Drosophila melanogaster: one gene and its partners. The protein of the gene in region 1 interacts with the protein of each later gene in a pairwise test. Each region holds a gene or a part of one and is shown in the gene's direction. Other genes may lie near its edges. The genes, in order: sll, bves and CG1648.

Region 1 (3,755 bases):
GTGTGTACGTGTGTGCGTGTGTGTGTGGGACGCGACCTTGAGCAGAAGTAGCGCACTTAATGCAGCCGCAAGAGCAACCCCTAAATTGCCAGCAGCCGCAAACAGTGGTGTTCACGATAATAAAATCACAGCAACGAACTACATATACTTATTAATGTAATAATAATTATTTTCTTTAAAAATAATACGAATCTCAAACTTAACTAATAAGAATTCACTGAAAGAAGCCAAAAAATATGCTATGATGTCCTATGCTTCCTAAATATATTCCCGAAAGGGTAGAAATCTATAATTTGAAATGCGCTGTCCCCCCAAATTTTAAACCTGATACCTTTTCAACATCAGGATTCGTATTTAAATATGAAAATTAATAACTTGTGCTACATTTCTAGCCGCAACTGTGAGTTAAACCCACCGGGGTGGGTGCATCAATGTAAAGACGTAGTAATGCCGCTCCCGCTGGCCGTTCTGTTCGCCTGGTGCACTAAGGTTGCTCCTAGTTACGACGTAACTGTTAACCGGTTTGGCCCGTCGGCAGCGCTGCTCCTGCATGTTACCGTTATGTAATGGCCTCGACAATGGTAACGTGAAAGAACCCATCCCACTCGGTGGGTGGGCCAGCGGGGCAGGCCGTACGCTTTACTCCGCCCCGTAGATCACGCCCTAGTGGGGTGACATGCGCAATGGCATCGAGTGGCGTTGGGTTGCCCACTGCGATTCCTGGTCGCCTGGTAATCCTTGGGCGTTACCTTAAGAAGGGTTAAACCGCTGATGGACACGTGTCTGTCGAGTTGAATGTGCTGCCGCTGCTGCTGCTGCTGAGGTTCTTGGCCGCGTTCTTGGCAAAAATCACAAAGAGCCAGTCCGGCGGTGCCGTACTCGTTTTGGGCGCCACCCAGTGCCCGTACTCGCTAATTGAAACGCTCCGCGGGACTCGGAGGTTGCCGGTGCCTGTGACCCACCCACTTGGGCGGGCAGAATCGCGACCTGCCATCCACAGGGGCGTAGTCCGTGCCATCGTGTTCCTGTGCCAGTGGTTGTCAGTGCTGCATAAGTTCTGGCTGGAAAGTAGACAGATGAAGTAAATTTGATTACTTTTTAATATAGTGGTATGTACATTTTATAAACAGATAATTTTAAATTCCACAAGTTTTGTATTAAGATTTCTCAAAATAATTATTCATGTAAAATTGATTTGATTTTAAATAAACCTTCTCATTATTTGTTTTATTAGGTTTTTAAATAGCCAAATCATCAGCACTAGGGGTTGCACAGCCATCGAAACCCACCCCTAAAGCAAGGAATGGCAATGTCAAGCGACACACCCCTCGCGCACGCACAGACACACGCACACATGGACAGGCAACGAGTCCTTTCGATTTCATTACGTTCATTATGTGAGGGGTGTCCTCTGAATCACACATTCCACACTCCTCCTGAAATTGATGTGCGCCTGGTATTAGACCTCAAGCGGAATTTCCTTTCGTTTGATTGTAAGTTGTGGGAACGTGCAACAGCATGTGTGATGAAATTCAATTATTAAAATATTACTATCTTACCATCTATTATTACCATCTTATTATTGAATACAATAACTAAATATTTTTGTATAAGTTAAGTAACTTTTTACTTTTGTTAATTACCAGTTTTATTATTATTATTTATAACTAGATACAAAGAAAACAGCGATAATTAAGCTTATCTCGATAGTTATTACCAGCGATTACAAATTTTCCAATTGGTTTTAACAAACAGTCCATCCCTCTTATAATCTATTTTAACGATTTAAGGCATGTTTCAAGGCTTTTAATATGCAAAAATGCACAAAAACAACAAATAAAATTACTAATCCGTTTCATACAAAGAACAGCTGACAAAAAAAAACGACCGAAACCTAACGGTAAATAATTCAAAAGATTAGGGAATACCCCAAATGGTATTTACTTTTAGACCGTGTGGTATTTTCTATCGTTATCGGCGCGGTCATACTGGTAACGTATTGGTTACTATTATAAAATATTTGGCAATCTCGTTCTACTCGCTGGCGGCCAAATAGCTGCAGAATGTTTGAGCAGCTGGCCTGAGAGCTAGTGCCGGCTGCCCGAGCCTAGTACCCCGGACGTCCAGAACATCTTGAAGCTCCAAACGCACCGCACGCACATCTGGCAGCCGATTGTAAACAAACTCGGGATATGGTAATTAGATGATGCCGATTTGGAGTGTGCGAATCATGCAAAAACTAGTTTTCAGAGCCGCGCCGGTTGTTGAACTCTTGACACTTGACTGGTAATAGATTATCGCCCGCGGGTTCAATAGGAATCGGAGAATCGGTCGAGTCAGCAGCACCGGGCATTCAAACCGAGAGAGCCAACGAAACGCGCCACATGTACGCCTATAATAAGATGGGTCGGGTTCCAGAGCTTGTTATATGGTGAGAACCCAACGAAGTTGAAAATCAAATTAAACTAATCCCGCCCTTAAAATCTGAACAGCTCCTTCATAGTGGTCACCCTGCTTGTCATACACTTCTTCTCGGATCTGCTGAGAGCCTCCCTAGGCGGCTACTACAACCAGGATGTTACACTTTCCCAGCTGGTTGAGTCGCAGAACTCGGACTACGCATGGTTCCTTAAGCTGCTGGTCAATTGCTTTGGTTATAGCTGCGTCTTTGTGCCGGGCTTCTTGATCTACAAATATGTCGGCAGGATTAACTACCTGGAAAGAGGCAACAAGACATTCCTGCACAAGGCTATCAATATGTGTATCACGGGTAACTCTGGATACGATCAGTTGGATGCAGGGACCAGCACCGCGGATAAGGATCGTCCGGCAGCCTCTACGGCACCAAAGCGAACGAGTTCCCAGGAGGCCGTGCAACTATTATGGTGCTTTGGCGGCCTGATGATCTCCTATCTTACCTGGGGTGTACTGCAGGAGAAGATAATGACTCAAAACTATCTGAACTTCACTGGAGAAAGTGCCAAGTTTAAGGACTCTCAGTTCCTGGTGTTTTCCAATCGTCTGCTGGCCTTTCTCGTGGCGCTGGCCTATCTACAATGGCAGCCCTCACCTGTGCGACACCGTGCACCTCTGTACAAATACTCCTATGCCTCCTTCTCGAATATAATGAGCGCATGGTTCCAGTACGAGGCCCTGAAGTTTGTCAACTTTCCCACCCAGGTGCTGGCCAAATCGTGTAAGATTATACCCGTTATGCTGATGGGCAAAATCATGTCTAAGGCAAAGTACGAGAGTTACGAGTATGTGACGGCCCTGCTCATATCGCTGGGCATGATCTTCTTCATGAGCGGCTCCTCGGACAGCAGCAAGGCCAGCGGAGTGACCACGCTCACGGGCATTTTCCTGCTCTCCATGTACATGGTCTTCGACAGCTTCACTGCCAATTGGCAGGGATCGCTCTTCAAGAGCTACGGCATGACTCCGTTGCAGATGATGTGCGGCGTCAACCTGTTTTCCTCCATTTTCACTGGAGCCTCGCTGTCCATGCAGGGAGGATTCATGGACTCCTTGGCATTTGCTACAGAGGTAAATATATATAAAGATATCAAGCTCTCAATTTATGATGATATCCATTTTAATCAAAATAACGTAGCATGTTCTGAAATTGAAAGAATATTTGATTTGTTTGTGTTTTGTGGTTTGTGATTTGCATAACCCAAATTGCAAAATTATAACAAAATAACAATAGATTTTAAAAATTTAACGTTTTTTCAAGTAGCTGATATATGTAAGAC
Region 2 (3,755 bases), on another chromosome or scaffold:
CATTACACAAAGTAGTTACACTCACCAGCATGTGTTCGGAGCTCTGGATGGGTTGGAATCCCACAAACGAGATCTGCATCGACAGAATGGTGCCGACGCAGTATAGCGTGCTGTATGCTATGTAGATCCTGTGCGAGAAACGTCCGGTGATCATCAGCGCCAGCACGTGCAGCGGGATTAGGTTAATCAGGAAGACATAGCCACCCCACGAGGAGACCATATAGAAGTAGGCCAATGCCGACATAGCCGACCAAAAGATCGTGCCCGTCTTTACCGCCTTGATCCACAAATAGTAGGTGAAGAGCATGCAGAAAATGGCGATGCCTTCATTGTCGTACGATCCCGCCACGGATCGAGAGATATACCCGGGAACGATGGATATCAAAGCGGCGGCCACCAGTCCAGCTCCAGTGCTCTAAAAAGGGGTAAAGGGGGATCATAAGAACCACGTGCGAATTTTAACCTCGAAAGGATATAAAAAAAAAAGTAAAGAACGGTGGGACGGTGGCTTACGTGTATCTCCTTTGTGAGGGCGTAGGTCACCAGCGTGGTCAGCGAGGAGAAGAAGGGCGCCAGGAAGACGCACACGTTCCGTATGTCGATGGTCACATTGAGCAGCCACATCAGGCGGTACAGGGCCGCCGAGGTGAGCATCAGCCCGGGATAGATGGTGCCGCCGATGATGCGGCCCAGGGGATACCAGGCGCGGTCATCGAACCAGTTGTGGAACTTGTAAAAGCCCTGCTCCGCCAGAAACCGCGTGGTGCGGTAGTTGAAGTACGGATCGAACTCATGGATTACGCTTTCGAATCGCAGCACAGAGAACAAGCGTGTGGCAAATGCTGTCCAGAAATGCAAGAGGAAAAGGAAGTTTAATCGGCGATGGCAAGAGGAAGACCAGCAGCTAGTGATGGCACATGCCAGCGTGTATCAAGCTATCGATATTCTAGCAGGGCTGGCAAGTTGATATTCTACAACATGGCAATCGGAAGATGTTTATAGCTATGCATTTGTTCAAATGCAAATCAAGGAATTTATAAGCTAGGAAATAAGGAATAATAGTGCTGCATTGCGTAACTAAGCCATTATATGCTCTGGGTAATTTCACCATAAAGTGCCGGCGGCACATCAAGCTATCGATAGCGAAGAAGCTCGCAGCAGATGCGAATGTTTGACCTTTTCACAACGCCCACTCGGCTAATGCCGAATAAGCGCTGTTTACTCACATAAAACCGCTGCCAGGATGAGAATGGCCAGCTTGACCAGGTGCTCCTGTTTGTCCCAGGTGAGCAGTCCCCTGGCGACGCCGCCCACGTCCAGCGTCATTTTCCTTGCTCTTCCGCCTGCCGGCTTTTTTTCGGCGCTGCTTAATTCGATGCAAGAGTCCCTAAGTCACCGGTGCGAGTTGTTGACTGAATTCCGGATGTCCAGGATTACTTGTTTTGCCCCACCGAAGCACTATTACTTAGCTTTTTGCACAAAACAATGGCTGAAACTTGAATGCGACGGGATCGCAAACTTGCAATTCGTGGCAAAGAGCGGAGAGTGCTATCGATTATCGCGTGCTATCGCCGGTCTATCGGTAATAGGGGTGACAACTCTGACCGCTGGCGGGTTTTATTGTTTCCCTTTTAACCACTTCTTTTGGCTGCTATTTGCGGTTTATTCGGCAGTTAATTCTCGATTTATGATTAGTTACTATTAGTGAGTCATCAAAAGCACGGCTGGTATTCGAATCGGCAATTCATAACCGGCTGTTCCTGGGCTTATATCCCAGCTGTTTTCGACTCTCCGTGGGAGCGAGCACGAGTAGTGAGCAGAGAGCGAAAAACACATTTCAACCACCACACAGTGGGGTACGATTATTATTTTTTAGAAAGTTACCAAAAGTTGTCTAAATACGTTTAGACCAAAGATGTCAACTACGCCAAAGCAACCGTAAGCACAAATAAAAAAGAAAAATGTAACAATTTTCAGATAAATCAAGGAAATGTAAACAATCTTAAAAAGTTGTCAGCTAGTATGCAATTGCGACCACTGTGCACCACGAAATTCGTTTTCATTGCGGGAGAGCGAGTGAGAGAGAGGGCGAGAGAGAGCGAGCTACAGCCGTTTAAATTGCCATATATTTCCCATATAAAAGCACCGCTGCTTCGTGTTTTCATTGCCTTTTAAAAAAATCTCGAACAAAATATGACAAGAAAACATCGGATGAATCGCCGGGCAGGAAAATCACGGTTTCCACTGAAAAACTACTGATAGTTATCACATATCCGAAATATATGTATTTTCAATCGAAACGAGAACCAAATCCCCGAAAAAACGCGAATCGGAGTAAATACAAGTTGACTTCTGCTGGTAAATAGAAGAAAAATTTGTACCTAAAACAATGAAAAACTCACGTGTCAAATATTTAAGAAATTGTTCTCACTAATACATGGGCAAGCCCATTCCTATTTGCGTGTATGAGATTTGCTAGTTCAAATCGTTGATTTTTTTTAGTGGCAGCTTTGTTATGTGCAATATATACATAGATATTTGCATATGTATTGTGTGTGTGTGTATTTACTTGCAGCGTTGTTGTTGCTGTTTTTTTTTTAATTGAAGCCGCGCCAAAAGTAATTAAATAATAACGATGGCGAGTGTTTGTTTGTGTGTAAAGTGCAGCAAGAATGGTGAAAAATCGAACATCAACACGCTTTTAAAAATGCATGTGTTATGTATGTGTATATATCGGGACGTCACTGTGTGCGTGCGGGTGGGGGCAGCGACGCCGGCAGAGGCAGCGATTGCAGTTGCCAGCACGCATTCAAGAAGAAGAAGAAGGAAATCGAATGTATGATGGGAGGGCGTGGAAGGGGGGTAGGGGAAAGGAAGAAAAGGAAAACAAAAGCAACAAACTCCAACTTCTGCATCTGCTTCTTCGTTCTCTCCTCCTTCGGCCCACCACTCACTCACACCCCACCCACTCTCTCAATGTGTGTATGTGGGTGTTTGCATTTGCATGGCATTTCTGGCATGCAACTTCTATGTGTGTGTGTTTGTGTGTGCGTATATTTATGGAAGTTGTGTGCCTATAGGCGAGAGAACGAGAGGGAGAGAGAGAAGATCGGGGAACTACTATTTATTATTATCCAAGCTCCCAAAAATCGAATATTTTGCAACAAAAGAAGTTAGACTCGTGTTCTATTAGGAAAAAATCAATGAAGTGACATTCTCATTTCCGATTTTGAGACCCAATTGGGATGAATTGCTTTCGTAACTTCCAACTTAACGATCTTTCCAAAGATCTAAACTACATGAAGAAGGGGAAAATGGGGATGAAATTCGTTTTTAAAATTTCTATTTAAAAATATATTGGGTCCAAAAATACTTTATCAGTGGGGAGAATAGCTCTGAAATGAGTTTCCAATTCCCGAATTCCACTTCAAAGATCTGAGGCGATAAATAAAGACATTGCTATGCAATTCAAAAGTCTCATAATTCAAATGAGAGCCCAAAAATAACGAACGAATTATTCAAAAAATAATTATGCATTTCAAAAATAACTGGTGCGTATTTTTGCTATGAACTGAGAATAATATTCTTTGGTAGAAAAATCTGAGAACTACATATATGTATAAATAACATATTGCTTTGCTTTGCAAATTCTTCTCTAAGTCTAAACAAACCGTAAAGTTAAAAACCTATCTAAATCCAAACAGTTGGATAACTGAAAGCCATTTGATATCGCACCTAAGGCAGCATTCCGATAA
Region 3 (3,755 bases), on another chromosome or scaffold:
AGCAATGGCAACAACAACGGCGGCCCCAGTAGCTCCATCGATTCATCACGGATTGTAGCTCTTTTTTTTAAGGCATCCAGAACTGGTGTGGAACGTGAGTCGGCAGACCTCAAATCGCAGTAACTCATAGATATTCGTTCCATGCCCGTATGTGTGTCCGTTCCGAGCTGGGTTCCCATGTAGCCCAAGCTACAGCTACAGCTACAGGTTTTCCTCTATCCGAGGCTTCTGCGCATTATTTCAGCTGCGAGTGCGACATCGACGAAAACAAAATCAGAGAGCAAAATCAAAATCCAAAACTAAAACCAAACCAAAACCAAAACAAAAACGACGCCAGAGGCTGTGAGAGAATCTGGGCTTATTGTGTTACCTTTTGGCCATGCTTCTAGCCGGTTTTCAGTGTTGACCACAAGTTGCCACAGTTTTGAATAAAGACTGAAGAACAAAATGCGTCGTATTACGCAAATGCCTTAAATAGGGCCGCTGGCCTTAGGAATTCCGCGTGTGTAAGCCATTAAGATATATATGTACATATATCCAAAGGATTTGGCGGGGAATATTAAACACTGCGGTTGCCTTATACGTAAGGCCACCTTTTTTAAGTTTAATAACTTATCATTCTACGAATGTATTTTAAGTATCTTTAAATACGATTTTAATTTGGAAAACAGCACAATATACTTAGCATGCATCTCTATACATATAGTTACATATTGTACAGTGTAGATTGCACGATTCCTTCCACTTAAATTGCTATTCTAGATTCTAGATTGTTAAGCAAGTCCAATGCCACATACATACATTCCTTAGCCATTAGCCATTAGCATTTGAAATGTCTGAATTCCCTTTGATTCACCCTGTTTTTTTTGAGCAGTAAAAGTAATTTTCAACACCTCGGCCGAGCCCACACATTCCATAATCTCGATACCCAGCAAGCGTAGAATAGAAACTATTATTTTCGCACAATTTTCGGCTCCTGCGGTGGCGATTGGCTCATTAAATGCGAAATGCGAAATGCGAAATTGGCCGAAACTAAATTATTTGGAAATGAGCCGAGTGTATGGGGCCATTAAAGTATCTCTGCGGAGAGAACCGAATCAGAATAAACACATTCCCGATCACAATCAGAAAGCGTGAATAGACCGCACTAGAAACTTGGGGGCGATTTCATTCGCCGGCTGCCCATTATGACATCACATACGCCGAATAATTTGAATACTCGAGCTTTGTTTGCCTCATTCGCATACAAGCATACTGTATATTACAAAGAAATTCCTCGGCTATTTCCGCCCGTTTCCGTTTCGCCCAACCGATTCGCACCCGGTTCCGAGTTGAGCGGCACAATGTTTCTATTTGAGTGGACGCACACGTCACTCCCAGTGAATGCAGATTCGAGGGGACAGCAAAAGCTGGCGCTCGTTAATTTCTATTAAATTGCGAATATAAGTCTCAAGTCTCGAATTTTAAGGCTGACGCCATGGGGCTGGCGATCACGATTTCAACAGCCCCTAGTTGCGCAGTTTCTATTAATAGGAAAGTGTCCCAGTCTAATCGATCCGATTTAGTCATGTAAATAGTTCATGCTCCAGCTGCTTTGTTTATGTTTCGGCAATTACCTGTCTGGAATTTGGAATCTGAAATCTCAAATCTCGCATCTTCGATCTGATCGGCGCTCCACCCTGCTGATTGCAATCAGGCTATAAATTATAATTAGCGCCAGGCCAGAGCTTAGTTAGCATTCAGAGGGCCAGTCAGCATGTTTCCTAGTCGCCAAAACCAAAGTAATCCCATCCAGCCAGCACAGTCAGGATCTAAAATGCACTCCTCATTCAATCCCCAGCTTCCTTGAAGAACTTCGGTGACAAGACCGCCAACCTCTTCAGCAAGAAGAAGGATGAGGCCGAGAAGCTGGCCAACGAGAAGGCTGCCGAGGCCCAGAAGCTAGCCGAGGAGCAGGCCAAGAAGGTGGGCCAGTCCGTACAGCAGACCAAGGGCGAGGCCGAGCAGTTGGCCGCCAGCACGGGTGAGTAACGAACATCCAAAAAATAATGAATGTAACACATAAAAGATGTCTTAGAGAATTAATTGGAGTTATTAATTCTAAAGACTTCCAAAAACTCTTGCAACGAAGAATTGAATGAGTCCCGTTTGAGATAACTTTCAAAATCAACTTTCAGTTCTTGCTAAAAATGTTTTCTCATTAGCATTCCATTTCCAATTTATCTAAAACGCAAATCTTTTAAGCATATCAAACACAAGAGAACTTAATAAATGGAATTCTTTAGTGACGCGTTGACGTAAAACATGTTTCCAAGAATAAGATTCGCATTTTTGAAAACATTTCTTCATAAATATTGAAATATTTCTATAATTGTGAAAAGCAATTTAATGTGCTAGAGATTTATAACTAAACAGAACATCAATGCTATGTTTTATGCTGGAGCAAAGCCCGACCAATTCAATAAATATCTTTAGGAGCACTTTTAAAGATATTTTGTAAGAATTTTTCCCACTAATATCTCTCTTTATCATACAGCCAAGGAAGCCGCTGCTCTGGCCACCGCGGAGGCTCAGAAGGCTGGACAGGCGATTGACCAGGGTGTGAACCGTGCCGCCGGAGCCGTCAACCAAGGCAAGCAGGCGGTGGACAACACGGTGGCCCAGGCGGCGGCCGTGGCCCAGAACTCCAAGCAGGTGGCGGCCAATGTGGCGGAGGCCTCCCAGCGAGCGGCCGCCAATGCGGTGGACCAGACCAAGAAGGCGGCCAACGACGCCATCAACAAGAGCGTGAAGGCCGCCGAGAACGTGGCGGACCAGAAGCTGAAGCAGGCGGAGGGCGCCATCGATGGGGCACTGAAGCAGACCAGTCAAACGGTGGACCAGAAGCTGCAGGAGGCCAACCAGTATGTCGACCAGAAGCGCCAGTCCGTCGAGAAGACCGTCCAGGATGCGGCCGGACAGGCCCAGGAGTCTGCCGGACAGCAGGCCAACGCCCTGTTGGGCAAGCTGCATCTGGGTCAGAAGTAGAGGCGTCTCCCTTCGCGGTGCCACCTAAAATATCTTGATGTGAAAATGCTTTAGATACAAAAACAAAAAAAATAGAAAGGAATTTGCTTCAATGTAACGAGTGCCAGTAATGTGATTGCTAAATCCTCAATTGAATATACACAATATATATATATATATATATTTACATATTTTTTGAATATCGCGCGGACGGATTATTTTGCAGCCGCTGCTTTCGATGTGAGCATTTCAGCACATCCTCTGTCCGTATCCGTACAAAGTGTAATTAACCCCTTCGTTCTTCTTCTTCGGCCGAATTTTGTTACTTTGAGGCATTTGATATTTTATATACAGCTGCGCTGAGTATGCTTTTAATATACGTATATTCTGTTTATGTAGAGATGTATGATTAAGTACCTTTAACTCTTGCACAACACATTGCAAATGTGTTTTTAATATATTGGATTCGAATGAGATTTGTGGTCTTTCAATTGGTGGGGGTGCCACTAAGCAAAGCGTATTATATGTATATATTTGGATATACTGATGTTATGTTGATTATATTATTACTGAAACTTTTATTAACTCATTTTCAATTTAGCGCCAAATGGTGATGTATGGTAATACTGTAATCTGGCCACACTGAATTTACTTCGGCTGCAAGCGCAAATAGCGCCACCTACATGTGGGATAGAACGCTGAATGGTTTGAAAACAGGGTATCCATGTTTTATCTCGCTTTTACCGTTT

Evidence for each region.
Region 2: the proteins of sll (region 1) and bves interact in a two-hybrid assay, tested with the Drosophila melanogaster proteins (one large-scale study listed by BioGRID).
Region 3: the proteins of sll (region 1) and CG1648 interact in a two-hybrid assay, tested with the Drosophila melanogaster proteins (one large-scale study listed by BioGRID).

The regions. Positions count from the first base shown.
Region 1 is NT_033777.3:17,604,135-17,607,889, forward strand, and holds the start of sll (slalom), read left to right. Parts: upstream 1-1,971; 5' UTR 1,972-2,195; intron 2,196-2,243; exon of another isoform or gene 2,244-2,250; 5' UTR 2,251-2,384; coding exon 2,385-2,431; intron 2,432-2,492; coding exon 2,493-3,546; intron 3,547-3,755. UniProt on the Drosophila melanogaster protein: Mediates the transport of adenosine 3'-phospho 5'-phosphosulfate (PAPS), from cytosol into Golgi. PAPS is a universal sulfuryl donor for sulfation events that take place in the Golgi.
Region 2 is NC_004354.4:21,052,385-21,056,139, forward strand, and holds the start of bves (bves), read left to right. Parts: upstream 1-1,578; 5' UTR 1,579-1,938; intron 1,939-2,161; exon of another isoform or gene 2,162-2,358; intron 2,359-3,755. Other genes in the region: Stt3A (catalytic subunit 3A of the oligosaccharyltransferase complex), read right to left, coding at 26-415, 514-842, 1,227-1,326.
Region 3 is NT_033778.4:9,810,750-9,814,504, reverse strand, and holds CG1648 (uncharacterized protein), read left to right. Parts: upstream 1-1,730; 5' UTR 1,731-1,756; coding exon 1,757-1,781; intron 1,782-1,840; coding exon 1,841-2,023; intron 2,024-2,536; coding exon 2,537-3,027; 3' UTR 3,028-3,186; downstream 3,187-3,755.